Coturnix japonica: one gene and its partners. The protein of the gene in region 2 purifies or fractionates together with the protein of the main gene of each other region. This does not show direct contact. Links are inferred from orthologs where the notes say so. Each region holds a gene or a part of one and is shown on either strand. Other genes may lie near its edges. The genes, in order: VTI1B, STX6, STX7, VAMP3, VAMP4, STX12 and NSF.

What was found.
Region 1: the proteins of STX6 (region 2) and VTI1B purify together in Homo sapiens (affinity purification with mass spectrometry; 3 studies listed by BioGRID and IntAct, counting the BioPlex papers as one, with this or other methods). This does not show direct contact. The link is inferred for Coturnix japonica from reciprocal best matches to the Homo sapiens genes STX6 and VTI1B.
Region 3: the proteins of STX6 (region 2) and STX7 purify together in Homo sapiens (affinity purification with mass spectrometry; 3 studies listed by BioGRID and IntAct, counting the BioPlex papers as one, with this or other methods). This does not show direct contact. The link is inferred for Coturnix japonica from reciprocal best matches to the Homo sapiens genes STX6 and STX7.
Region 4: the proteins of STX6 (region 2) and VAMP3 purify together in Homo sapiens (affinity purification with mass spectrometry; 5 studies listed by BioGRID and IntAct, counting the BioPlex papers as one, with this or other methods). This does not show direct contact. The link is inferred for Coturnix japonica from reciprocal best matches to the Homo sapiens genes STX6 and VAMP3.
Region 5: the proteins of STX6 (region 2) and VAMP4 purify together in Homo sapiens (co-immunoprecipitation; 5 studies listed by BioGRID and IntAct, counting the BioPlex papers as one, with this or other methods). This does not show direct contact. The link is inferred for Coturnix japonica from reciprocal best matches to the Homo sapiens genes STX6 and VAMP4.
Region 6: the proteins of STX6 (region 2) and STX12 purify together in Homo sapiens (affinity purification with mass spectrometry; 4 studies listed by BioGRID and IntAct, counting the BioPlex papers as one, with this or other methods). This does not show direct contact. The link is inferred for Coturnix japonica from reciprocal best matches to the Homo sapiens genes STX6 and STX12.
Region 7: the proteins of STX6 (region 2) and NSF purify together in Homo sapiens (affinity purification with mass spectrometry; 3 studies listed by BioGRID and IntAct, with this or other methods). This does not show direct contact. The link is inferred for Coturnix japonica from reciprocal best matches to the Homo sapiens genes STX6 and NSF.

Annotation. Positions count from the first base shown.
Region 1 is NC_029520.1:27,588,912-27,593,026, reverse strand, and holds the start of VTI1B (vesicle transport through interaction with t-SNAREs homolog 1B), read right to left. Parts: upstream 2,801-4,115; 5' UTR 2,795-2,800; coding exon 2,461-2,794; intron 494-2,460; coding exon 435-493; intron 238-434; coding exon 46-237; intron 1-45. Other genes in the region: retinol dehydrogenase 12, read left to right, coding at 2,848-2,942, 3,311-3,429, 4,115-4,115. UniProt on the Homo sapiens protein: V-SNARE that mediates vesicle transport pathways through interactions with t-SNAREs on the target membrane. These interactions are proposed to mediate aspects of the specificity of vesicle trafficking and to promote fusion of the lipid bilayers.
Region 2 is NC_029523.1:5,884,356-5,887,855, reverse strand, and holds part of STX6 (syntaxin-6), read left to right. Parts: coding exon 1-78; intron 79-1,493; coding exon 1,494-1,556; intron 1,557-3,377; coding exon 3,378-3,500. UniProt on the Homo sapiens protein: SNARE promoting movement of transport vesicles to target membranes. Targets endosomes to the trans-Golgi network, and may therefore function in retrograde trafficking.
Region 3 is NC_029518.1:51,543,053-51,546,552, reverse strand, and holds part of STX7 (syntaxin-7), read right to left. Parts: intron 3,188-3,500; coding exon 3,118-3,187; intron 1,450-3,117; coding exon 1,359-1,449; intron 1-1,358. UniProt on the Homo sapiens protein: May be involved in protein trafficking from the plasma membrane to the early endosome (EE) as well as in homotypic fusion of endocytic organelles. Mediates the endocytic trafficking from early endosomes to late endosomes and lysosomes.
Region 4 is NC_029536.1:234,708-239,003, forward strand, and holds the start of VAMP3 (vesicle-associated membrane protein 3), read right to left. Parts: upstream 2,801-4,296; 5' UTR 2,684-2,800; coding exon 2,682-2,683; intron 1,334-2,681; coding exon 1,252-1,333; intron 654-1,251; coding exon 495-653; intron 17-494; coding exon 1-16. UniProt on the Homo sapiens protein: SNARE involved in vesicular transport from the late endosomes to the trans-Golgi network.
Region 5 is NC_029523.1:6,871,390-6,875,435, reverse strand, and holds the start of VAMP4 (vesicle-associated membrane protein 4), read right to left. Parts: upstream 2,801-4,046; 5' UTR 2,637-2,800; coding exon 2,571-2,636; intron 2,313-2,570; coding exon 2,266-2,312; intron 2,092-2,265; coding exon 2,041-2,091; intron 1-2,040. Other genes in the region: MYOC (myocilin), read left to right, coding at 3,277-3,787. UniProt on the Homo sapiens protein: Involved in the pathway that functions to remove an inhibitor (probably synaptotagmin-4) of calcium-triggered exocytosis during the maturation of secretory granules.
Region 6 is NC_029538.1:1,338,156-1,340,793, forward strand, and holds the end of STX12 (syntaxin-12), read left to right. Parts: intron 1-179; coding exon 180-252; intron 253-412; coding exon 413-495; intron 496-1,005; coding exon 1,006-1,098; 3' UTR 1,099-2,138; downstream 2,139-2,638. Other genes in the region: PPP1R8 (nuclear inhibitor of protein phosphatase 1), read left to right, coding at 2,284-2,348. UniProt on the Homo sapiens protein: SNARE promoting fusion of transport vesicles with target membranes. Together with SNARE STX6, promotes movement of vesicles from endosomes to the cell membrane, and may therefore function in the endocytic recycling pathway.
Region 7 is NC_029542.1:656,256-659,755, reverse strand, and holds part of NSF (vesicle-fusing ATPase), read left to right. Parts: intron 1-1,658; coding exon 1,659-1,858; intron 1,859-3,500.

The DNA of each region.
Region 1 (4,115 bases), on a different chromosome or scaffold from region 2:
TCATAATCACAGAAGCTTTAAATACAGTTTCTATCAGATGCTCACACTCTGTTCATTTTCTGTGGAAAAGATTCCGTATTTCATATCCCCTTGACTTCCAGGGCCCAGTCCCAAATCTGTGCTTCTCATCTCCCTCTGGAACATGGAGAGGTCCCTTCTGTATGCCCGGATTTTGCTCATCATTTGATTGCGGAATGGTAGAGGAGCATACTTCAGTTCTTCTTCCATTTCCCGGAGCTTAAAGAAAAGAACACTTATTTTAAAGCATCACATTCATTCTTATAAACAGCTGTACCCAGAACTTACACTAGATGAAGGGATTCACATATTATGTTCACATAAGAACATTAAAGTAAAACTTGGGATACTGTCCTTTCTAGGGCAATCAACATATTAAGTGGCCAGAAAGGCCACAATTCCAGGCTTAAACTTACCGTTTCATTTGCTTCACGCTGCTTCTCATCAAACTCCCGAATCAGCTTTTTCTTCTCCTCTGCACAAGAAAGAGCAACACGTGAGATAAACCCCAACAAAACTAAAGCAGAACTTGAAATCCTGATTTCCAGCAAATCGGGTTTTTGCATCCTAGCAGTTCACTAAAAACAACCACTCAAATAAGACAAGCACCCTGCAGAGCTCTGAGATGGAAGACACCATCAATACACCAGATCAGGTTGTCCAAATACTTCTCTTTTCTGGAACCACACTGGATGTTAGATCAAAACACCTAAAACCAGCTCATCTTATGGATGTGCCGTGGCCACACCAGGGCCCTTCCCTTTCAGTTCAAATCCCCATTAAGCCCCTGAGTTTGACTTGTAGTGCACTTAAGATAGATAAGTTTAAACATAAGTTTAGCGCTGCAGGAAATGCTGATTTATGGGGTTCCTACATTGACTATCCTCAGCTCCTCCCCTGCTTTTCTGCCACGTACATTTGTGCTGATTCAACTGCTTGAACAGCCAGGCTGCTAGCAAGGACACGGGCACACACAGCAAGGAAACAACTTTCTAAAGTCACCATTCTGCTCACGCAGGACACTCCACTCCTTTGGTGAATGTAGTGCCCTCTTAGAACAACTGCTGCTGTCTCGAACCCATTGAAACCCGAAGCAGTGCTGAAAAAGCAGTATTTTACCCTCTTTGGGTGCCCACAATTGGATCAGTACAGCACTGCACTTCAGCCACAGAAACATTACCCACATGTTTCTCAGCATCTGTGAGATCTCATTTAAACCAACCGAAAAACAATCAGTTGAAAAAGGCAGTTAACTGTTTACTCAGAGAATGGGATCTATAGCAGAAACTGATCAATGCCATTTAAAATGCTTTCTTATAGGTTTGGAAGGAAGAAAACACTTGCTTCCAGACCTGAGAATTTATTAGCTTGTAAGATAACATTTCCACATGGAAGATGGTCCAACAATGACACATTTTGTCCTCCCTGCAGTCTGGGAAGTTACCAATCATCTCAAAGGAGTACACAGGACACCATCTGTTGTCCCACAGACTTTTCATGACAGTGTGAAAAATGAAGACCCATGTGGGCATGGACAGCAAAGAATGCCTTACAAATGCCTTCAAAAGAGAGATAAATTCCTGACTTCACATGAACTCCCTTGTTATACTTCCTTGGGAATATCACAGATCTGGGGACCTGGCAATAGTTTACTTTTGTCCACAAAACTGACAACCCTCCTTTCTGCAAGGAAATTTCTGTTCTTTGAAATTCAAGCGTTGTGGGGCATTTTTCAATATGTGTGAGCACGGTCTCTCCCCATTCTTTCCCCAGCAACAGGGTTGAGTTTGTATTTCAAGGCAGCAAAATAACCCTCACCCTACCCTGCAACCTCCTCCCATTAATTGTATAGAAACGATGCCCAGATTCCAGGGCCCTTCTTCACAAAGGGGCATCCCTTCCTTTATGCTTTTCCTTCTTGGTGACTGTCAATAAAACAAAGGCAGCTTTGAATCACAGAACTGCAGGGTTTGGAAAGGACCCCAGGGGATCACCCTGTCCAACCCACTGTTAAAGCCAGTTCCCTGCAGGTCACCAAGGAAAGCATCCAGGAGGGTCCTGAATATCACTGGAGGAGACTCCACAGCTTCTGTGAGCAGCCTGCTCTGCCTTCTGGCCTTGAAAGCTGCGGCCCATAGTTTTAAGTGCCTCCCACTGTACTTTCTGGAAACGAATAGGATGGTGACCCTGCATTTAACCCGGTATTAGACTGAACCGGGCAGCCCGGACACCGCACCCCTCACACCCAGCCGGTGCTTCCCCGCCTCCGCGCCCACTTCCCGTTCTCCGCTACGCCACAGCCGAGCGCTGTGCGCCGGGAGCGGAGCCAAACGAGCCCCTCGGCTCGGGCAGCGCCGGGCCGGACCGCGGGGCCTCGCCGCGCTGCGGGAGAAACCTCCGCGAACCCGACGAAAGCGCCGAGCCGGATCCGCCCCGCCTCACCCGCCGCGCCGCCCCGCAGCCGCTCCGGCACGGCGCGCAGCTCCCCGTGCAGCCCGCGGAAGATCTCGTGCAGCCGCTCCAGGTGCTCGGAGGACGCGGGGCCGCGCTCCGCCATGGCGATGGGCCGTACGGGGCACTGCCCGGCGCCGCTTCCGCCATCGGCCGCGAGGACCCGCGCCTGCGCAATGAGACGCCCCGCGCTGCCTGACCGCGGCACCGGGGCAGCCCAGGCGGAGCGGGGTCCTGGCGGCGCGCTGCCCGCTGGGAGCCGTAGTCGCAGCGCCGCCTCGTGGTGCTCCGCCCCGCCCCGCCCTGCACCGCCCATTGCTCCCATTGGGGCGGGGCGGCTCCTCCGGGCGCGATCAGTGCGGGGCGGACGCGGCGCGGATGGAGCCGTCGGCGATGCTGAGCTGCTGGGGCGCGGTGCTGGGCGCCGCCGTGTCCGTGCCCCTCGTGCTGCTGGCGGCGGCGCCCTACGTCAGGTGCGGGGCTGTGGGGCGCCTCGGGGGGCTCCGTGCCGCCGGGCTAAGCGGCTCCTTTCTGGGGGTTGGAGACATACAAAGGGCTTTCGGGCAGCGCTGTTACGGCGGTGTGCGGTTGGCGGCAGCCGGCTCGAGCCGCTCCCGCGGGGGGTCCGGCTCAGCCGAGCACGGGGCGGTGGGAGCCGGTGGCCCGGGTTCGCCCCACGGCGCCGCGCCGACTCCATTGGCCGCCGCGCCGGGAGCCGCGCTGTCAGCCAATGGCAGCCGTGGCCCCACCGGAGCGGGCGGAGCGGGCGGAGCGGGGTGTCGCGGTGCCCGGTCCGATGTCGGGCTCGGAGCCGCCGTCGAGTCCCGCCGCTCTCTTGCAGGCGGTACGTGGCCGGAGGGCGCTGCGGGTCCGCGGCCAGGCTGGACGGGAAGGTGGCGGTGATCACGGGCGCCAACACCGGCATCGGCAAAGAGACCGCCAGGGAGCTCGCCCGGAGAGGCAAGTCGGCGTCACGCTGCGAGCGGGTGCGGCTGATGCGATCCGGCACCACGCGTCGTGGTCTGCAGCCTGGGGCCGTGTTTCTAAGAGCCACATTCTGAAGGTCCTTCAGACAGGGCTGTAACCCCTGAGGTGCAGTTCCCCAGTTCCCAGCTGCATTCACTGCTTGAACCCTGACCCCGTGTCTCAGCGTGTAGAAATACTCAGCGCTGTGGCCACCTCGGGAGGACCAAGGAAGTGCCTGGAGTCACAGGGCTCTACCTTGTTTGGGGATGGGAAATGGCTCAGATCCGCTCATGGTTCAAAACTGGCTTAAATGTTTTTTGGTAACTAGCAGGGCAGTGAAAGTACCCAGCAATGGCTCTGGCTGGAGTCCAAGCAACCCTGCGTGTGTAGGCCCTAGTGCTCCCATACAGCCACAAATACAACCTGGTCATACCAGGGCTGCAGTGCACTCACCTCACCTGGGAGAAGCTGGACAGAGGCACTTCAGATGTGCAATCTCCCTGTCATAAAACAGGTCTGAGCTGGCTTGGAGCTAACAATCTACAACAAGAGTTGTTGTGCTTGTCAGCTGCTCCCCTGGACTGAAGTCAGTTCCATAGGACACAATACATTGCAAGTGCCAAGTTGTCCTGTCCATACAGAGTGTGACATCTGCTTGTGTTCTTTTTCCTCCTTGCAGG
Region 2 (3,500 bases):
CCTCGGAAGTTCAACCTGGATGCCACGGAGCTGGGTATCAGAAAATCCTTCATCACCAGCACGCGGCAGGTGGTCAGGGTAAGAAGCAAGGATGGGGAAAGAGAAGGCAGCTTGAGTGGTTAAAAAAAGCCAGTAGGGTGACTAGGTCAGTGCTGAACAGGAGAGCAGAGAGTAAGTCTCCTACCTGCCTGTCCTCAGGCTGCCTCCTCATCCCCACATCACATGTTCCCACCGAGGACTGCCTGACTTTAAGCTCACACTCTTAAATATCAGTACTTCACAGAAAGGTGGGCCTGGCAAAGCTCTGCTTGTTGGGCCGCAGCTTCACACAACTCAGTGCTACAGCCAGCATTAAACTCAAGTTCAGTAGCACCTGCAAGAGCAGCAGCATTTATTCACATAGCTGTTAGAGAGGATTCAGAAGCAGGAAGAATATTTTAACAGCTCGGTGGTAATAAATAGAGAATAAAAGTCTCTCTGAAATCTTCACTGTCTGCTTACACACTGGTTAGGAAGTTTTCTCTCTATTAATTGCTACGCTCAGTGCAGCTTAATTTCTGCTTTCCCTCATGGCTCAGATGTTCCTCCTTGACAAGCTGCATTGCTGTGGCTAGCAGCAAGCTTGTCATCCTACCTGCAGTCCAGAGGCAGTTCTTAAGGCTCGCTGCCTGGGAACTGATCCTGAAGCCCCAGCAGCCCCAGCATGCAGTTATTTGACTTAGGTTTTCCATGGAGAGAGTTTGTGATAGAAAGCAGCTTGTGCATTAAAAGTAACCAGGTGGGATCTGCTGCTTGTAAGTGATACATCTCTGAGCAGTAAAACATACCTACGTGTCTTCTGGTGACATCAGAACTCTGCTGGTGGGTAAAGTGAATCAGCACCTGCTGGATCATATTGGCTTCTTGCATATCTGCCCTATAGAAACTGAACTGGTTTGCACTGGAAGTAGGAGCCTCCTGTGGCTGTCTTCTGTAGGAGAGACAGTCAGAGAGGAGGGCCACAGGACAGGAAATCTATCTTGTCCTTTGCAAGATTAAATCAGATACAACTGGGAATGAAATGCAGGCTACGGGCTCCCAAGACCTTCAAGAACGTATCTTCTTTACCGTCTGTCACTGGGAACATTAAGCTGGTATTATACAAATCAAAGTGTTTCTGGCTGAGCAGTTTAATCTAGCTGTAGATGTCCCTCTTCACTGCAGGGTAGTGGGACTTAATGACCTATAAAGGTCCCTTCCAACCCAAATGATTATCTGATTCTATAAAAATGAGTAGTAAGTAAGGGATATTTTCAAAATATCCCATTGCTGTTGATTCTAGTATTGAATAGCAATGAATTGCAGTGGAGCTTTTAAGAGCATTTTTTCCACAGACCCTTCCCTCCCTCCCCACAAAGAAATCTTTCTGGGTATAGACAACTTGGTAGCAAACTGAAGCTGAAAGTCACCTCAAATCCAATGCTTACGTCCTTCTTCTTTCTTTGAACAAACAGGAAATGAAGGATCAGATGTCAAATTCCTCCATGCAAGCACTGGCTGAAAGAAAAAACAGGCAGGTGAGAATCAGAAGTGGGCAAGCTAAGTGAACGCAGTGGTTATTTGGTACTTTAAAGAGCTCGAAGGATTTATCAGTTTTAACAGCTGTTTTGAGACGTGTTAGGTGAAGCTTTCGTATCACTTAGTTTGGACACCCGCACCATAAGGCAGAGCATCTAGCATGGTTAAAGCTCCTTTAAAGCTGTAAGTACCATATATATCCCATTTTGTAGCACATCACCTTACAAACATTTGTTCTGGGAAGGGGCTTGCACGCTGCAGCAAAGCTGTGTGTTTGAGCCATGTCTGTCTCACTGATCTGAGAGCATGGGTTCTGTCAGGCTCGTTGCTGCCACCCTCTTTCAAACCTGTCACTCAGAGCAGTAAGTCACCACTCACCATCTGTCTCCATCTTCAGAAATGCTTGGGTACAGCCATCAGCATTGCATCACCCTGCAGAAGGGGGAATCTCCCTCCACCTCATGAGGAAACAGAATCCAATTCTGTAAATGTAATCCTGTGCTCTGCTGTATTTAGGAGCCAGGATGCCACATCCCTTCACAAATAGCTGCCTCACATGATAATTAACCTTGTAAGAAGATGGAAGAAGCTCAAGGAGTCTCAGGTTGTCTGCTTTTGTAATCTAAGGAATAGAAATAGATGCAGCTTTTGCTTCTCCCTGGCTAGTGAGACTGTAAGGAGATCTTTGAGCTGACTTCCAGAGCTGCCTCTGTTAGAGCTGCCATGCCCTATCTGGCTGCATCATTCTTTATCACTTGTGGCAAAAATGATAAGCTGCAAGAAGATACTGAGAAGCACAGAGTTGGTTTGTCAGCCTGTTACAGGCTTAACTGACGTGCTTGGCAAAAACTTGGAGAAGCAAAGTCCCTTCCTGTCTTGCTCAAACAAGCCTGTAGCTCTCTCTAAGTTTTGCTGCTTTACTTAAAACTGCAAGCTGCAGGAGACCATATGGCCCAGCTTGTGTGGTGACATCTGGTCAGGAAAACTCATTTCCCCTTGACATCTTCCCTCCCCAACCCCTCGCCTTCCCTTAAGTCCGCAGAGCCTTAGCTGAGCTGGGCTACAGCAGCTTCTCCAGCATGTCTCTGTGTCTGAGAGGCCGGCTTTCAGCTAACAGTTACCTGATCCTCATGGACTAAGGCTGGCAAACACAGACTTCCCTCGGGAAGCTGCATCAGAACTTCCTTCCAGGGACCAGATGTCCTCAGCTGGAAAGCCACTTCTCTGCAGGATTTGCACTAGCTTCTCTGTTGAGGTCGTAGAGCAGGTAGAGACTGTAATCTTGCAGTATGGCATACTTGCAGCATAACAGGTAACCTGAATCATAGAATGTAAGTCCCGCCTTCAACACTGCTGTGTTTATATTCACTGTTTTACTGTCAGATCATCTGGTTAAGTACTTTATCCAGACTTTCAGCCCTGGTCATTAGCAGCACGGTGTTCAGTTCCATCTATACATCTGTTAACATGACGTATCTGGATACTTCCAGCGTCCTCCTAGCACACAGTGCTGCATCTTGAACAGACCTTTACTAGTCCTTCGGGTGGAGCAGGCCTCCTGCTTGCACTGTCTGTCAGTCGTGCTCCAGCTCTCCTGTCGGTGGAGAAGTTTTTGTGCAATAATCATGCAGATATTTCCCATGCTGGCATTTGGCATTGCATTGTTTTAGTTTGTGCCGGCACTCTGGCTGAGCAGCAGTAGAGAGGGAGGAGAAAGATGCTGTAGGCACGTGTACAGGAGCGTTGCCTTGTCCTCCTTCCCTGAGACCAGCTGTGAGCAGACACAGAGGTGTTGCTAAGGGACTTCTGCATCTGTTTAGGCACTCCTGGGTGAAAGCAGCAGTCAGAACTGGAGCTCTGGACCTGACAAATACAGCCGTTTGGACCGGGAGCTGCAATTAGCAAATTCACACTTCATTGAGGAGCAGCAAGCTCAACAACAG
Region 3 (3,500 bases), on a different chromosome or scaffold from region 2:
TCTAAAATGAGCAAAGCAGAATGAATGAGGGAAATAGTGCTCAAGCATAAGAAATGAGCAGGGACAAAGCTCTCCACATGTATTGTACATAAACACTGGAAATGTACTTTGAACTGCAACCAGAAGTGGGCGCACATCCCTTTCAAATCCTTAAAATCTGTTAGGAAGATAGCTACTCTAACTTTCGAGTCTTTTTATTTTTACTTTTTTGAGGAAGATGCCAAGGAAGGAATGGCTATATCAGGCACATCAGAAAGCCTCAGTTTTATTTCCCTAAATATATCCATTATACCAACCCTGCCTTCCAAATTTGTGAGAGGCCATAACTTGCCATTCATCAACCCAACATCTGTGTATTTCATCTAGTGCTGTGTTTGATGAAAATGCTCATGATAAAAGGATTAGAATTAAACAGCAAAATATCCCACTGCCAACTTTTCAGCAACAAGACAAAGAATAAAAAACATCTTTGCCTCAACCAGAGGTTATATAGTAAGACCAAACTCTAACTCTACCAGAAGTTCACAACAGGCAGAGCATGCATGGAACACAGCCTGCCATTGGAAATGAGTGTTTCAGGACAATTCATTTTCCTAAGCGCTCCTTGCTAACAAGTCACAGATCAGAAAAATTGTCTGAGTGGCAATAAGCTGTGTTCATATTTTCTGGCGTCCTATTGCTCTTCCCTTATCTAAGTCCTGGATTTTGTTACTATAAGAAATCAAAGGATGAAAGTTGAGAGCATGCTAATGACAACAGCTACTTTGCATGTAAGCTCCTGCCTGTCTTTCTCACAGATATGGGAATGAAGCAGCTCAGAGGCTGCACAAATCGTTCTAGTAACAGCTCTTGTCCATCCCTCTTAAGAAAAGAAAAGCCTGTGGACAAGACATAGCATATCTGCTCATTTGAGTTATGCAGATCAGACTTGCTCTGCAAAAATTATTTGGACATTGTGCAAACAGATCTGATCACCTGCCACATGGTTAAGGTAGGCAGTAATTCCTGACCACTGGAAGCACTCAAAACTGATGAGTTAAACTCAGCAGCAACACTGCTACAGTTTACTGAGTGCCCAGATAGCTGAAATCACAGGCACAATGTACTGTCTTGAGTCCTGCCTTCTCAGTCAAACTCAATTCGGATATTTAAAAACATATTTGAAACAAGTCTGGAATACAGCAAAACATACTGTGTTGTAATTGCCCCTACTATGCAAATGTCCTCAGTGACCAAACAGTGCTTTGAAAGCCAGATGAAGGATACAAAAACTGGGCATGCAGAACTGAAGTCTCTCAAATACTCTATATGAGCCAACATGATAATCAAACTTTAAGCCATATTCTTTGGTTTTATACCTGTTCACTTGTTGCAGGCAAAGATCCAAACTCTTTAATGTATTTGTCAGTTTCTTTGGCAAGCTGGTTTGTGTACTGCTGTTTCTGTTGCCTAAAAACAATGCAAAGTTTCATTAGAGACCGCTGGCTAATTTTGTTGGAGTTTTACCAGTTCTCAGAAACACAGTGGTATTAAACACTCACTGAACTGCATGATGCCATCCTTCTACTGTTCTTCAGTGCAAAATCATAACAGATCACCGTGGATTCCAGGTGACATGGACACTGAGGGAATGTTTCTCAGTGTGACAGCACAGCTACTTACCTTTCCCACTTTTTTCTTTTTGCAATATTGTAATTGTTTCCCTAATGCACAGCAACAGGGTTCCAATTACTGTGAATAACTAAAGATGCTTTTCCATCATCTTTTTCAGGCTCTTATTTTGTTAAAGAAGTTCAGAATAACTGTATAAAGGACACAGTTTTTTCCTGTATGGAAGAACACTGGACCTGAATATAACTCCATGAACATAATCCATGAAAAGCCAATTCCTGATAGTCATTGGGAAGCATACCCAGAGATTTGTATTCTCCCATGACACAACAGCTGTGAACTTAACAGGAAAGTTTAATTAATTGCTTAAAAACTTAAATTGTGCTTTAAAAAGCCTTGTGTTCAGCATCATTTCTACTTGCACTTTATGTTTCTTTTCACTTCTGCTATTACCACACACTTTCATTATGAATTTCACTTTTTTTTTTTTTTTTTTTTTTTTTTTTTTTTTTTTCCTGGAGTAACTCAAGTTTTTTTTACCTGCTTTCCCAGACTGGAAAGCAGTTCGCAAAAATCAACATAAATACTTGAAAGCAATCAAATAACTCTCCCAGACAACTTCATTACATGAAGGGAAGGGCAAAACGTTCAGACCAGTGAAATGACCATAGATGAAAACCTCAAGGAAACTTATCATGTTAGCACTTTCCTAAATGGACTATAATTCACAGCAGTTTCTAGTCCTTTTAGTTTTGAAATTATGCTTAGATCTTGCCTGCTACTGCATAACTCACATATGTTGATCTTTATGCATTCGATCTCCAGCAGGACATCCACTGTGGGTTGTACCTGGCTATTGTTATGAGCTCCAAGCTCAGGTTATTATGAAGCAAGCTGGTTGTTCACACAATATGATATATACATATCATATACATATATATACATATATGATACAATATAATGCCTTTGGTTCAATACATATTTCCTCCTGCTACTCATTTTCTTTTTATTCCAACTATATGCAGCAATAGCCACAGTAATGATTGGCAACTTTCCCATCCATAGGGTTAGCACAACACAATGGTTATTTGCTTTTATGCTGCTGAATTTTATCTGGTAAAGGAGGCTGATTTAAAAAAGAAAATAATAATATTACTGGTTCATCAGACTGCGCTGAGAAGTGGAGAGATACTGAACAACAACATTGCTTTTTAGTCTTGTTGCTTTCCCTTAGCTAACATACAGCAAAAATTTTGTACATATATTGATACTGTAGGCAACGCATGCGTTCATGCCACCTGACCAGTGCACCAAAAGTATTCAAAATTAAATAAGAATAAAAAAAGGCACCTCAACGTGTAAATTTCAAATATTTCCCTATACCTGCCTTTCTCAGTGAGGACAAGCACCTTGCCTAAGAAAAAACCAAACAACCCATATCTAATCATATCCCTGGAAACTGTCTGCAATGCAATGAAATTAAATATTTTCATGTGAAATACTCACAGCTGTTGCCTCAACTCATGTGTGTCTTGTGGTGTTCCAAGCTGACTGAGTATTCTCTGTATTTCAGCAGCTGTTTGTGAAGAGGAAGAAGAGAAAGTTTAATAGTGCGCAGACATTTCCAACATAAGTTTATGATTTTTAGCTTAGCAATTCTAAAACAATAAAAATTGACAGAAAATGATATTGAACATATATATATATATATATATAAACTTTTTATTTTTTATATCAACTGAGAAGATTCACTGAAACATTAAAGAACAATTTGTAAATATTTTTGCCAACTTAAAGACAAAACCCAGGGTTTCTTACAAAGGATGGGAATATATTCAAGTATCTAAGCAGAAACAGACAATTAAAAGGCTAGCATTTTAATTCAGTAA
Region 4 (4,296 bases), on a different chromosome or scaffold from region 2:
TCAATATTGCCCACATCTGTGAAGAAAAAGCCACTCGTCACATAATGTAACAGCAGCGTTTAATAGCCGTCAGAGTGCAGGACAGCAGCCCTTGCAAAGCACTTTCACTCGGTGTGGTAGACCTTTCTGTTGTCTTTGTTGCTCACCAATGAGGATTCCAACCTCTGCTGACAGCTACAAGGATACCCAGTGAGCTCATTCCGCTTGCTTACACATTAATATATATATTTTTGGCCTATTCCTCTTGTACCCCAAAGCCTCAGATTATTGCAGCATTTCCCTCTGGCCATTGCTGCTCACACAAGGCCTTGTATCAAGCAGCATTGCTGGTCATCTATTTGATTACTTCACCTCACCACTGCAGTGCTTTAAAACTAGATGCTATAGAAATGAACGCTGCCTGAAGTCCCTTTTCCCGCTGCCTTTTGAGATGCTGACTGTAATACTGTTCACTGTGATAGTGAATACTCTAAGTGTATATATGCCACGGTTACCTTACAGTTCTTCCACCAATACTTTCTCTTCAGCTTGGCCGCACTGGTCTCAAACTGGGAAGCTCCTGCTTGCAGCGCATCAGCACGGTCATCCAGCTCCGACAGCTTCTGATCTCTTTCCAGCACCTTGTCCACATTCACCCTCATGATGTCAACAACCTACATCGGTAAGTTATCAGCTTTATTAATCAGTATCAAATCCATTTGCAGGGAACAAATGTTCTCATCTAAGGAGCAGGAACTTGCATTTTAGGGTATCCAAACATAAGCCTGAACATTACCTGCAGCTGGAAGGCCCTAGTGTCTATTTCTCAGTCTCAGTACAGTCACTGTGCTTATATTCCCCTGAACCTGGGATGTAACTCCTGACTGGCACCAGAATGACTTGAGGCATTCAAGCACAACAGTCAACCATACGTCAAAAAACAGCGTTGGCAGCTAAACTGGCTCTTGGCCTCCTCAGGAATCAGGACATGTCTTATTTAGAGGTAAAACTTCTTTGCTAATGAAGAGAAGCAAGCTTGTTCTGTGTCAAAGCAAAGCTTGTTGTCTTCCCAAAGCAGCAAGCTGGAATGAATTAATGGATTATTATTTTTCTGAACCTTTCCAAGAGTTAAGGTGATAGATACAACAAAGAAAGATGAATTGTAAAAGGTTTCACCTTCATATCAAACAACAGCGACTTTAGCTGGTATATCTATACTAGATACCCGATTTTTTAAGGGAATGAATGACACTTATCTAACCAGATTTTTACCTCATCTACTTGATGCTGAGTTTGCTGAAGCCGACGGTTGCTACCAGCAGGCACATTTGTGTTTCCGGGGACGTTGGCTGACCTGCAGTAAAGAAAGCCATTGGGATCCTCTTAGTTTCTCTTAGAGATTTTGCTTTCAAGTTGACATGCTTACAACACACAACTTATCTGACCTTCCTGGAAGCAGGAAACTTTGAATCCTGGAATAATCTTAGAGAAGTTTAATTTCCTTTTGGGAAAGTGATGTTTTAGCAGCTGGCTATAGGTCTAAGTCAAAGTGCATCCTCAATCTCTTGCTAGTGAATGGACTGATGTACTGAAAGTCACAATTAGCTAATACAATAGTCTCTATTAAGGCATATGGCAACTCCTGTAGTGCTCAGAAGGGGCTCAGGTTCTCAGGCACAAGCTCAGTAGTGTTCAGTTTTTCAGTAACAAACTCTACGCCAATAACCAAAGTACAGGAACTTTCATGGTTGTTCTGTGTCCTTGCACAGAGCAGTTGTCTGAAACAGTTGATATTGAGCAAGAGAAAGCACAAGGAAAATGCATTTGGCATAAAGAACAGTTAACCTGCAGTCAGCTCTGAGCTCCTAACCCCAGGCAGTCCCATTCTTGTTACCCAGTACAACACTGTGCATTACTGCAATCAGTGCAGGAGTCTGTACGCATTTCTCATGTTCTGTCCACAGCTTTAGTGACTTTCTGTTGTACAGCTCCACAACTCCAGCAGCTTTTCCGTATTTTCCTCTTTTCTGCAGCAGAAGTTCGTGCTGTTCAGTGCAACCTGACACCCAGAGGGTTCAACCTGAGCATTGTTTATTGTAGCACGAGATTTGGGCACTAAATTCAAACCTACATTTTAAGGAAGTAGACGCACACAGCGACCCACACCCAGTGCCCCGTGATAACAAGACAGGGCTCAATAGTAGTAGTTCAGATTTGATGTAATAACCACTCCTGTGCTCACACCTCTGTGCTGTTTTACTGCTGCCAATATTTAGGAAGCGCTTTCTGAGGCTCCACACAGAACGCACACAAGAAATTGGCCTCCAAAGCCGCCCCTCGTTCCTTTGCCCACGTCGGCAGCGCTTCCAGAAAAGCCTTCAGTGAAGTTGCCGAGGCCGCCGACATTGTCCCGGGGAGCCGGGCAGGATAACGCCCCCCCGCCGCCTCCAGCGGCAGCCAAGGGCCGTGGCCGCCTCCAGCTCGGGGTGCGCGGCCCAAGCGGAGCCCGCTCGGCCTCTCCCGGCTGGAAGCGCGGCCGCCCCGGGAGCCTCCACCCACGGGCGGTTCCCGGCCGACATCAGCGGCCCGAGCCGTAACGAGCCGTAACGAGCCGCCCGCTGCTCCTGCTCCGCTCGTCCGGCCGCGGCCGGGCCGCCCCGCCGCCCATCGGGGCCGCTCCCCGCCCGCAGCTCCGTACTCACATCGCGCCGCCGACACGGAGCCGCTGCGCACCCGGAGCGCTCGGAAGGACCGACAGGAAGCGGCAGCTGCCCCGCGGAGCCCGGATGTGACGAAGGGAGGGCGGGGCTGTGGGAGGAGCAGGCCGCGGGATGGGCCCATGGCGGCGCTACGTCCCTTATGTCCCGTGTAAAAACAGTCAGACGCTTCGTATGGGGAAATTTTCTTTGTTTTTAATTTACAGCAGAAAGAATATAAAGCATTCAGAAAACATTTTCCATATTTTAAGGGCAATTCAAAACATTTTGCATGGTTCCAGCAGCTGAGTTCTTCAACAGATCCATTGATTCAGTGATGCTTTACATGCACGGTTACAAAAATAAAACTTACAAAAGAGAAGACATCTATACTAGTTTGACATGCAAGTCTTGGGGACCCCCCATTGGGCACCAGCTATTGTGTGGAACTGCCATAAGCGTGCAACCAGAGAGGGGGTTCATGTTATATTCTGCATTTCGATCACACAGTATTTCTGCTGTCAGACGCGATTCACAAAGGAGCGATTCCGTGACCAGACAGGAGGGTTCAGGAGGTTTTGGCTCCTGGCACTTGGGAACCTGAACTTTCCTGGGAAGCTGCACTTAGTTTGTCTGCTGTGAAAACACAAGTCCCACAATGGAGAGAAGGGTGAGCGGATCACTTCACTTCAGCGGGAGTCTGTGACCCCCCGCGATGCACTGAAGGGTTGTGACCCGACACAACAAAGCACTTGGAAGCTGCGCTTGGCTTCAAGCAGGCGAGCAGCTCTGAGCACACAGAACTGCTGGCGTGTCGAACACCAAGCCCACGCTTAAACGTTTTGCTGAAGCAGGATCTGGGTTAGTAGATACACCACCAGGCCCATGGATCTGGAAGAGTAATGTGAAATAGCTCTGTATGTTACTGAACTGTTTTTCTGAATACAGGGAGTTCAACATTTGCACTGAGGTCACTACTCTCGTTAGAAAAGAGATCGATTCGTGGAGCAACATTCCAATCTCAGGATATCAGGGTTCCTCCAGTATTAATACAGAGCATTTCCTATTCATTCCAAAGGAGATTCTTCTGCACTTCTATTTTTGCGTGTGAGGACAATTGAACAGGTAAAGTCCCGATTCCATACGGCAATTAGAGGCTATGAGCTGCCCAAAGCCACAGCATGAGAACCAGCATTTCTTACTTTTTTTTTTTAATCTTTTTTTTTTTTTTTTTTAATTGAATCAGGTCATAAAGCAGCAATTCAGAAATGTACAATAATTCTGGTAATGAGCTATAGCACACGTCTACTGTAATTCAATGCTGGCAGTGAAAAGAAGTAATTAAAAACAGGTACAATTATAGAAAAGGCACCAAGAGCACTGACCCCAGGTTTGTTTTTGTGTTTGTTTTTTTGCCACAATCTTTGTTTTTACTCTTCTTTTAAAGACACCAGTTTAAAAGCTTCTTATGTGAGAGTGTTTTTATGGCTTCACGTGAAGCCTCCATTTAAACATTGCAGTTGGTGGCCGGGATCGAGCCAGAACGATTCTTCCAATAGGAACAATCCCAAAGTGACATCAGTCCGTTCAGAGATCTGCAACTGCCGCTCGCAAAACAGAC
Region 5 (4,046 bases), about 990 kb from region 2:
CTCGCCCATTACATTCACCATGTTCTCCACCATTGCTCCCGTGATCCCGTTACTTTTTCCTTTGCCCATTTTACCAGTTTCATTTTACACACATCTTCACACTTTGTTCCCTCCAGCAACACACTGCTCCAGTCTCTCTGGCTTTGCCCAGCTAAGCCTCAGCTCTCCCAACACTCAAATTGCTCCTGTTTCACCAGACAAGCAGCCTTGCGCCCCTGTATATGTCATGATATGACTGGTGTCCAGCTATAAACCCAACAGCTCCTTGGTGAATTCTTTCTTTTTTCTTCCTGTTCACAGCTGCAGTGCTCTCCTTCAGCTCCCTGCAAGCCCCCATGGCCCTTCTGTCTCACCAACACATGGGAAGGGAAGAGCTCCTGCCCCTCTCTGCTATGCACAGGGAAGACCCTCTGCAATTTCCCTCCAGCAGAGGAGGATAGAGGCCAGCATTAACTCTCCCATATACTTTACAGAGCTGACACCACTCACAACTGTCATCCTCACTCACTTCAGACCAGTACAGCACCACACAACGAAGGCTGTATCCACATTGCCTCCCTGCCACAACCTGAACATCTCTACCAGCAGCATCTTGATGCCCGAGAGAGAGCACAGGCCCACTGAAAACACAGGACACAGCAGCCAATCCACCCTCCTGCATAACTCAAATGCACTTTGCCTCTCAAGATAACGCAGTGAGCAGGCACACAGCTCAGCACTGCCTACAGCTGTCACTGAGTCACTAAGCCAGAGAATGGCTGAGCTGTGGAGGTCAACTGGCCCAGCCCCACAGTCCACCCATCCATCCCACAGCAACAACAACCCGTTTATGAGGCTGTTATGGGGGACGATGACAAAAGCCTTACTGAAGTCCAGCTCAGAGAAGACCAAAGAAAGTCAAGGAAGGTCAGAAACTAAATAAAGAGGGTCAGAAAACTAAATAGTGTGTAGAAATTCCAAAGAAGATCCCAAAGACACCACCAGCCTCTCAGTCACGCTGCTCTCCAGTGACCATGAATGAACTTTATGGGCAGAGAATATGAACGGAAGGAGCCAAGATGGATTTTATTAGCTGCCCATTTCCACATAAAGAAAACAACAACAACACAACAACCCCTACTCACATGTTTGCGCTAACAAACCCTGCCAAACCAACCTGCTTAGACCTAAATAACTTCGCTTTCTGGACTGAAAAGATCCTTTTGCCTCCTTTGGTCAGGAATTTCAATTCAACTCCACAAACTCCTAAAATACCATTATTAAATCACTTCACCATGGACTTGGAAAAGTCAGAATTGTCCCTAGTTAAGTCTCACCTAGAAGAGCCTCTTTGACACTAGCTCCCAATGACTCATTTCAGAGATGCACTGGCTGATTCAAGGCATGAAGAAAACATTCCTAATGAAGAGTAACCCCAAGGCTGCACACAAAACAATACGGCCTGATTAACGTCCAGTCATCGGTCTCTGACTTCTGTTCTGCCTCGTGGATGCCAGCAAATACAACAGCACAACTCAACACAGAGGTCTCTGAGCACCCCGTCCTTCCCATTAAGTGTCACCATCACTTCTCTAATTGGAAGGAGCAGGGCTAATCAGAGCCTAGAATAAGCATCACCCAGGAAATGACTCACTTGGAGGACTCAGTGTCCCTTCCTTCCCTCTTCTCGCCCTGTTACAGCCAATGATCCTGCTCCAGCTGTACAGGGCTCCTGTTTCTCCAGCTGCTTCGACCCCACTGAGTGACTGCTCATCTCCAGGTCACCTCTACCTCATTATCACTAAAATATACCACGGGCTTTGGAAACTCCACCATGACACTGTGATAAAGTTCTACCCCTCTTCTGCTATTAAAGCACAGCTCCTTGATAACGTGAAACAAATTTGATTTTCCTTAACGGGCTGTGAAATTACAATCAGATGAAACAAAGCACGAGCCACTGATCAGAACTACAGAAAAATAGTCTGCTAACAGAGCAGCAGGAGCTTGTAACATCAGCATAAAATATTATGTGAGCGATACAGAGGAACACGAACTTACTGCCTGATCTTGTCATTTCTGGGTCCAAACCTCGGTCCGGAAGGTCCCCTCCTGCAGCAGAAAAGGACAGGAATTACAATAGCAGATGCAATGAAAACATGTGTTTAAATCAAAGACCTAAAGGTACACAATAGGGCAGGGAGCAGCTCTTGGTATCAGCACTCCCAGCCTTAGAGCTCCAGGCGGTTCAAACATCACACGCCCCGTGTCTGCTCAGAAACTCACAAGAAAAAGTCCTCCTCTTCATCTGAATCCTCCTCCAAAAGGTTCCTCTGTGAACAAAGCAAAACACCATCAGTGTCAGCCTCTTCACATGACACCCCAGACATTAGGACACCACCAGCACCTTCAGAGCACAGGGCAGTGCTGAGCCCTCATGGGAGACCATCAGCGCTGCCTCCCAGGTACGGGAGCTGTGCTGCTGTACCCTGTGAGCTGTGTGTGCTGTCACAGCACCCAGCGGTGTTTGCCGGCCCTGCCGCCCCTCAGGCCGAGCTGCAGCACAGCGGGCCCGGCCCGGCCGCACTCACCCGCTCGCTCTTCACCGAGCCCGTCACCTCGTCATCGTTCAGGTGCCGCTTGAACTTGGGCGGCATGATCCCTGCCGGGGAACCGGAACCGGGAGGACGGACACGGCCCCTCAGCGGGCAGCGGGCCGGGCCGGCAAATGGCCTCCAGCACCGGAACCGGGCAGAGCCATCGAGCCGCTCTGCGATCCAACGAGTGCCGAGCGATCCACCCGATCCACCGCGGTCTGTGTGTGGGCGGGGTCTGTGTATGGGCGGGGTCTGTATATGGGCGGGCGGCCCGACGGGGGCTGCGATGCCCACGAGCAGCCGGTGTCTGCGGCGGGGAATTTCCACGTCCCGGCGCTGCTCCACCTGCTTTATCCACCCCCCCCCATAAGTGCTATGGGACCCCCGTACCTGGCAGCTGTACAGCCCCGAGCTGATGGAAGGCAGCTCTGGGGCAGCACCGCGGGCAGCCCCCCCTGCGCTGCGGGCTGTCGCGGCGCTGAGTCCCCCGTTACGACACCCGTGTTCCCATGGGGTCCCCTCCTGCCCGTCCCGTCCATCTCCTCCCGCCGCAGCCCTGGCCCGCGGCCGCGAATAGTTTGGCCTGGGCCACCCCGCGGTGCCGGAGCTTTGCCAACGGGCGGCACGGGGGGGCCGGGCGGTCTGGAAGGTTCCCGCGGCCCTATAAAGGCGGCGGCAGAGCGGGGTGCCGATAGGGACCATGCCGGGCGCTTGGCTGTCGCTGCTGCTGCTGGCGGGGGGCATCGCCCCCAGCGCCCGCGGGGACCCCGCCGCTCTGCTGCGGAGAGAGAACGACGGCAGCGGGCGATGCACCTACAGCTTCACGGTGGCCAGTCCCGGCGAGGCCAGCTGCCCCGAGGCCGGTGCCGTAGCGCAGCTGAGAGACGAGCTGGCCGCGCTCACCGCCCGTCTGAGCCGCCTGGAGGGAGCGGGAGGTGTGGGGGGAATGGGGGGCTCGGGGCCGAGGGGCGCTGATGTGAGCGGAGTGTGGTCGCGGGGCCCCCAGCGAGCGGCCCCGGGGGGGTGCGAAGAGCTGCAGCGGGCCAAGGAGCGGCTGGAGGAGGAGAAGGGCAGGTTGGAGAGGGAGAAAGAGGAGCTGGGCCGGCGGCTGGAGAGCAGCGCCCGGGAGATCGCCCGGCTCAGGGCCGCGCAATGTCCCTCCGGAACGGGGGGGGTGCCCGGCCGCGACACCCTGCGCTCCGCCAGCAAAGGTCAGTGCTGGGGGTGGGAATCTGCGGGCATCCTCTGCGCCCCGAGTCCTACATCCTCCCCGCGCTATCGGGTCCCTCTGTCCTCCCCTACACCCTGCAGCCTGTGCCCCCACCTGGGCCACCTGCCTTTGCCCCTTAGAATAGCGCCTACCCACTGCGAGGACCCAGCATGGGGACCCCCAAGCCCTCTCCCCATCTCCATACACGGGCTGTTTGCCAGCCACATCGGCGTGGGATGGAGCACACTAATGTGGGGAGC
Region 6 (2,638 bases), on a different chromosome or scaffold from region 2:
TATTGCAAGCTCTTATGTTAATCCCAAGTTCCATCAATAGCAACATCAAGTCACCTGAGTCAGTGAGTGATGGCATCTATTCAGTTATTTCTAGTGGTGTGTTCTGAAGAGGCACTAAGAATTAGGCTGCAAAAGAACTGTAACCAGTGTTTTGTATAACTTGTCAAACTTGTCTTCAGGCCGACATTTTGGATGTCAATCAGATATTTAAGGATTTAGCCATGATGATTCATGACCAAGGAGATATGATTGGTAAGTGTGTTTGGATAAGGAGCTTCTTTTCTAGTTCAGCTGCACTTTCTTTCTGTGTAGTTCAATTTTTCTGATATTTTGTACAAAAAATGTTGTATTTATTTTATTTTAAGCACCAGAAGTCTGAATTGTTTTACAAGTTCTCTGTTTTTTTCCACAGATAGCATAGAGGCAAATGTGGAAAGTGCAGAAGTTCATGTGGAAAGAGCCAGTGAGCAGTTACAGAGAGCTGCCTATTATCAGGTAAATTATGTATGCTTGTATTATTGTAAATGTACAATCAAGTACAGTAACTGTATGCTACATCATTTAAGCTGTAGAAATGCAGTACTATCTCTGCATCAAACTACAGGAGGGATTGTTTTCATTTGTTTTACCTGGAAAATCCAGATAGTTGGAGAGGTTTAGCTTTCCTTTGCAGCCTTGGTGGCAGACCTTTGCATGAAATGTATATTAGGTGGTGTCGGCTTCCCTATTTGTAGTTATCTTGAAGTAAAGCCTTGAATTTGCCTTAAAATGTAACAAATTCTGCTAGCTTTGACTTAATTGGATTTCTTAGACCTAAAACTAAACCTTCAGTTGTGGCATATGCTGTTTAAAGACCTTGTGAAATTGCGTACTTGGTACTTCCCTTGAATAATGACAGGTATTGAGTGCTCTGGTTCACCATACTTAGCAACACAAGCTGCCAAACTTGCTTTTTCTTCCTCATCTGCTCATGGTATCAGTGGCTTTTTCTTCTTCTTTCTTTAGAAGAAATCCCGTAAGAAGATCTGCATCCTGATTCTTGGTCTTGCTGTGGCTTCTATACTCGTAGGATTAATTATCTGGTGGGCAAGAGGGTGAAATCTTCACATGGATTCTTGTCTCATTGCTGAGAATATTTTCCCCCAGCACGAAAAGGCAGACTAGTTTTGGAAATGAAACCACCCTGAGAGAGCACAAGCTGGAACTACTTCTAGTAATAGTTATTAGCAACTAATGTGCAGACAACTAGTATTTGGAATTAGTGAACCATGGAGACAGTATTTATCAGTTTATATACAAATTATATTGTTTTATGTAACTAACATCTCGTGGTTTTGCTTTCTGTAATGTATTATTCCCTGTCCCGACTGTATGCTGAAGTGTGATCGATAATTGGAGATGTCTTGTTTCACTTGACAAGTGGCAGACATTGAACTTTTTATATGTACAGATAACTTTGTTGGACTGGAATAAGAACGACATTCAAAGAGGGCACAACACTAACTTTCATTACCTTAATCCAGCAGTTTCTCAAGTCTCTGGTATCTGCCCCATGGTTTTATTAGTCTCTGGGTGGCTGTGGTTCTAAATTTGATTGAAAAGATGCCACTGCAGATCTGAAAAGCAAGAAGTATGCATGGGTGATAGATGGAACAAGTGTGCTCAGGAACCGGTCACTTTAGCCTTGAGACTCATTGCTTTTATTAATTTTTGTGCATGGTTGGGGTTGTTTTGGTTTATTTTAATGCACCGGTTGAGTACTGTAAGTCCTGTAAGTCTAAGGACACCCAATCTAGCAGTGCAATGTCATTGAAGAAATGAGCTGATGGTTTATCATTGGATGAATAAATCTCTTCCATTTTTGGTTCTCAAAGCACTAAAACACAAAGCTGAGCTCCCCACTTTGTAGCCCTGAACTGACACGCACTGAGGGATCAGCAGTCTGTCCGGTATCGTGTGGTAAATGCATCATACTGACCCATTTTGTATCTAACCCTTTATTCCACGTCTCCTGCGTAATAAAATACATGTGAAAGCTGGGAAGGGGGAGGGGTGTTCTCCCAATAAATTGCACATTGGTTTGCACTACTTACGCCATCATTCCATCTAATAACTATCAATAAACACTTTTAAAGGCCTTTGTCGGAGCTTCTTTATTTTGCAAGATTAAACAGCGATAGAATCAGGTTCCTCTAAGCCCCGCTCTGTGGAGAAGCTCGTTCCCGCCCCTCTCGGCGCGGAGCACGCCGGGACCGCCCCCCGCCTGAATGGGGCAGATGCAAGATGGCGGCCAACGCGAACTCGGCCGGAGGAGGAGGCGGCCTCTCGCTCTTCGAGTGTCCCAGCTGGTGAGCGGGCCGCGGCCGCACGGCTCTGCGCTGCTGCGGGGCTCGCAGAGGGACGAGAGCGGCTGCCCGGCCGGGTCGGGCCGAGCCGGGGGAGTGGCGCTGGGGCGGGACGAAGCGCGGGGCTGCGGCGCCTCACGGCCGGGGGGATGGAGCCTGGCCGAGCCTGAGCGGGCCGAGGGGAGCGGGGCAGCGTTGGGTCGGGGGTGTGGGCCGGAGGGAGCCCGGCTCGGCGCTGCGGGGCCCAATGGGGGCGGCTCGGGCCGGAGTGGTGCTGTGTGAGGCCGAGATGT
Region 7 (3,500 bases), on a different chromosome or scaffold from region 2:
GCTCACAATACCTCTTGTGACATTGATTTGACAGGAATAGCTTTTAATTTATCTGAGCCCCATTCATTCCTGTGCAGAACTGGTTCTTCACTGACAGTATGTGTTTGTGTTTCTTGACTCGTAGATGCCTGAAAGTTGACTGATGGATTCTTCTTAACCAGACCTCTTGCTTTTTCTGCAGGATTTTCTCTTCCTTTTCGTTCTTTACCCTTCCTTTTCCATGGAGAAATCTCTGAGTTTATTACTGTACTTAACCAATGGATCACTATCTCTGTTTAAGATTGTGGTGGGGATGAGAAGCTCCTCATAGTGATGTTCTCTTTAAACTTCGATACACTAACAGCCTGAAAGAGAGAGAGCAGTGTGTGCTGATATTAGAAAGTGTTCTGTATTGAGCTGTTTTTCATGTTGAAGTGTGAGTTCATCACTGAAACATTAAAGAGTGAATGAAATTAAGTCGCAATTGAGCACTGGTGAGAAAAGTGCTTGTTCTCTAAATGCATTAGAGTACTTCAGGTTTTCTAAGGTTTCAGGTAAATCTAATATTCTTGAAGTAAAACAGTTTTTTATTTTCAAATCTACCAGTATTGGAAGGACCAAGACTAAAGGAGAGGGTGGTACAGGACTCTGTACCCTCCAATTCACCACTTGTGTTCAAAGTGGAGGCTTGTGCTGATGAAAGCTGCTCTGGGCACAGTCCAGATGTGCTGTTTTCTCATAGGCTGCAGTGGATGCAGCTTATTCCTGGTCTTTTTCCTTGGGGTGTCCTGTAGGGCTGGTGAGTGGGAGTGACTGTGGCACGAGTTGTTGTTCTTTGTCTTCAAAACAGAATGGAAAATAAAAAACAGATCTGCTGGAAACACAGGATCTAGGCAAAATAACTTATATGTTTCCTCTCTTCTACTTCCTCACTAACTTTGTAGTATGTGTTAGTACTGTGACTTTTCTTATTAAGGCAGAGTATAAAATATTCCAGCATAAGGTTATTGAAATTGTTGATAAATCACAGCTGAGAGTTACATGCTGTTTATCTAAAATTCTGTGAATCCAAGGGTAAACTTTCTTGCTTTCACATTGACATGTGAAACTCAGAAGTTCTCTGCACTCTTGTGTGTGTTGCAGGTCAAGTTGCCCAGGGCTCCATCCAGCCTTATCTTTTGTGCCTTCTTCCATATTTGTCCTAAAAACTTGTATTCAGAACTAGACTCATTAAAGCTCAATGTAGGGATAGAAAGTTAAACATTATTACCTAATAGTCCATGATTTCTGATTCAAGAAGCAGCAATCTCCACTGTCTACACCTACACTGGGAGCTGAGCTTCAGTTGGGTAATGTTGGCAGTCATCAGGGTTTTGAAGGATGCTTCATTTCTCTTTATATATGAAAATTAAACTCAGATAAACCTTCCTGTAAGGGAAGGTTGTCCTGATTTGTGTTATGTATCCCTGTAGGGGAAATGAGAAATCACAGAAGCATTATTTTGGAGAAGATCTCCAATATCACCAAGTCCAGCCCCAGCCCATGCTCACCATACCCGCTGACTGTGTCCTTCAGTTCCGCATCTCCATGGTTCTTGAACACCTCCAGGGATGGTGCCCCCACTTCCCTGGCTCTTTCCTATGCAGCCCTGTTTTTAATCATGTTCTCTCTTCTTCCAGGCTGCAAGCACGTAAAAGGCATTCTGCTATATGGACCTCCAGGCTGTGGTAAAACTCTTATGGCCAGACAGATTGGCAAGATGCTGAATGCCAGAGAACCAAAAGTGGTCAACGGGCCAGAAATCCTCAATAAATACGTGGGCGAGTCTGAGGCCAACATCCGCAAGCTGTTTGCTGATGCAGAAGAGGAACAAAGAAGGGTAATGCAAACATGGATAAATAGCATGGTCAGGATGAATGTGCCTAAAGAATGCCTGGAAAGGAAGTTTGTAATCAGAAAATTGCTGCTTGCATTAAAAGACTGAGTCACAGCTTCACTTGTGATTATAGTTATTCCTTGCAAGTCACTGAATATTAGTGTTCTACAGATTCACTTGGTGTTGACTCAAAGCAAAAAGAATATTATAGAAGTGAAGAAGGTAGCTGGTCTTCCAGGTAGCTGTGCTGCAAGTGAACAGTTTGTTTAACTTTCATTTTAAGGTAATTCATTAGTGCCCATCCTGCTGTGTTTTATATTACACGGTGTGTCAGCTGTTCAGAAAGTGCTTAAAAATAGGTTTGTAAACATTTTGCTCCATTTCTTTTTCGCTTTTTTCTTGTTTTAGTTTGGAGACAGTCCAGTTGGAGTTAAGACACATAAAATAGGATGGATTTCAAATAAGTTTTCATGACTTCAAGTTTTTGAGTTACAGGCTTATGAGTACATAAATCTACATTATAGACCATTGATTTTTCCTCAGCAGAAAACTAATGGAGAAGTACAGTTATGGATCATTAGTTATGGTACTAATGGACAAGAACTCTCTATCTCAAAGCTAGAGAGCATGGATCTCCCGAAGTGTAATTGGAGGCAAAGATTGTTTTTCCCAGATTTGTTGCTTTTGTCCATTACTTCAGCTGGTTACAAAAAGCCCAGTATTTAGTTTGAAGCTGTAAAAACCTTTTTTCCTTTGTGCTGTGGTAACTCTTCATATCACTTTATTTTCATAAGAGTTTCTGATAAAGGAAATAAGACATCAGGTAAGTCGGAGTTAAATATAGGAAGGTCTTTTCAGAAGACATCAGCCAAGGGTGCTGTATCTTCTGCTGTTGTTTATGACAGCACTGCAGATTGTGATGGTGCTTGACATGGCTTTATTCTGCACAAGATTAATTAATCAATAAGCCAGCTTTACATGGGAGCCCACACAGATGTAAACAGCCTCCTTCTCTCTGGTTGTTGCAGTGTGACTGGAAGCTGTGAGCTTCTTTCCTTTGCAATAACACACCTGCTAAAATGGGGGATGGTCCTGATGACAAGTAGTGAGATTAGAAAGGTCTCCAAAAGGTTGGTATTGTAATGACTGGTGTCTGAGCAGATTGCCAGGGACAGCACATTCACCTGGTATTAACGTGGTCCCCACTGACCACAATAGATGTTTTAGAGGTGGAATTTGAAGGGGAAAACTTCATAACATGGTCACAAGAAAAAGTATCCTGTTCTGTGACCAGCTGCATCTGCTTCACCTTTGGTGAACCTGGAAATAAACAGTTCTGTTCTGATTGGCACTGAACAAGTTGACTCCTTGAAACATGGAGAATAAAGTGACATGGCAAGCTTGACCTGGGATGTTTCTCGCATTGGGTACATCCATCCAATATTTCCAGCACTGAGTGCAGCCATCCCACTTGGGTTGGTTGTATGTACCAGCCAACCCATTTTGAAGGACAGCAAGATGTTATTGGGAAGGGATCTAATGCACAGCATGCGATATCCAAATCTCTTTTGGATATTGATTTTGGAAATCAATGTTTTGTGTTTTGCTGACTGATCTTCTTTTGAAGTTATGTTTTGTTAAATGC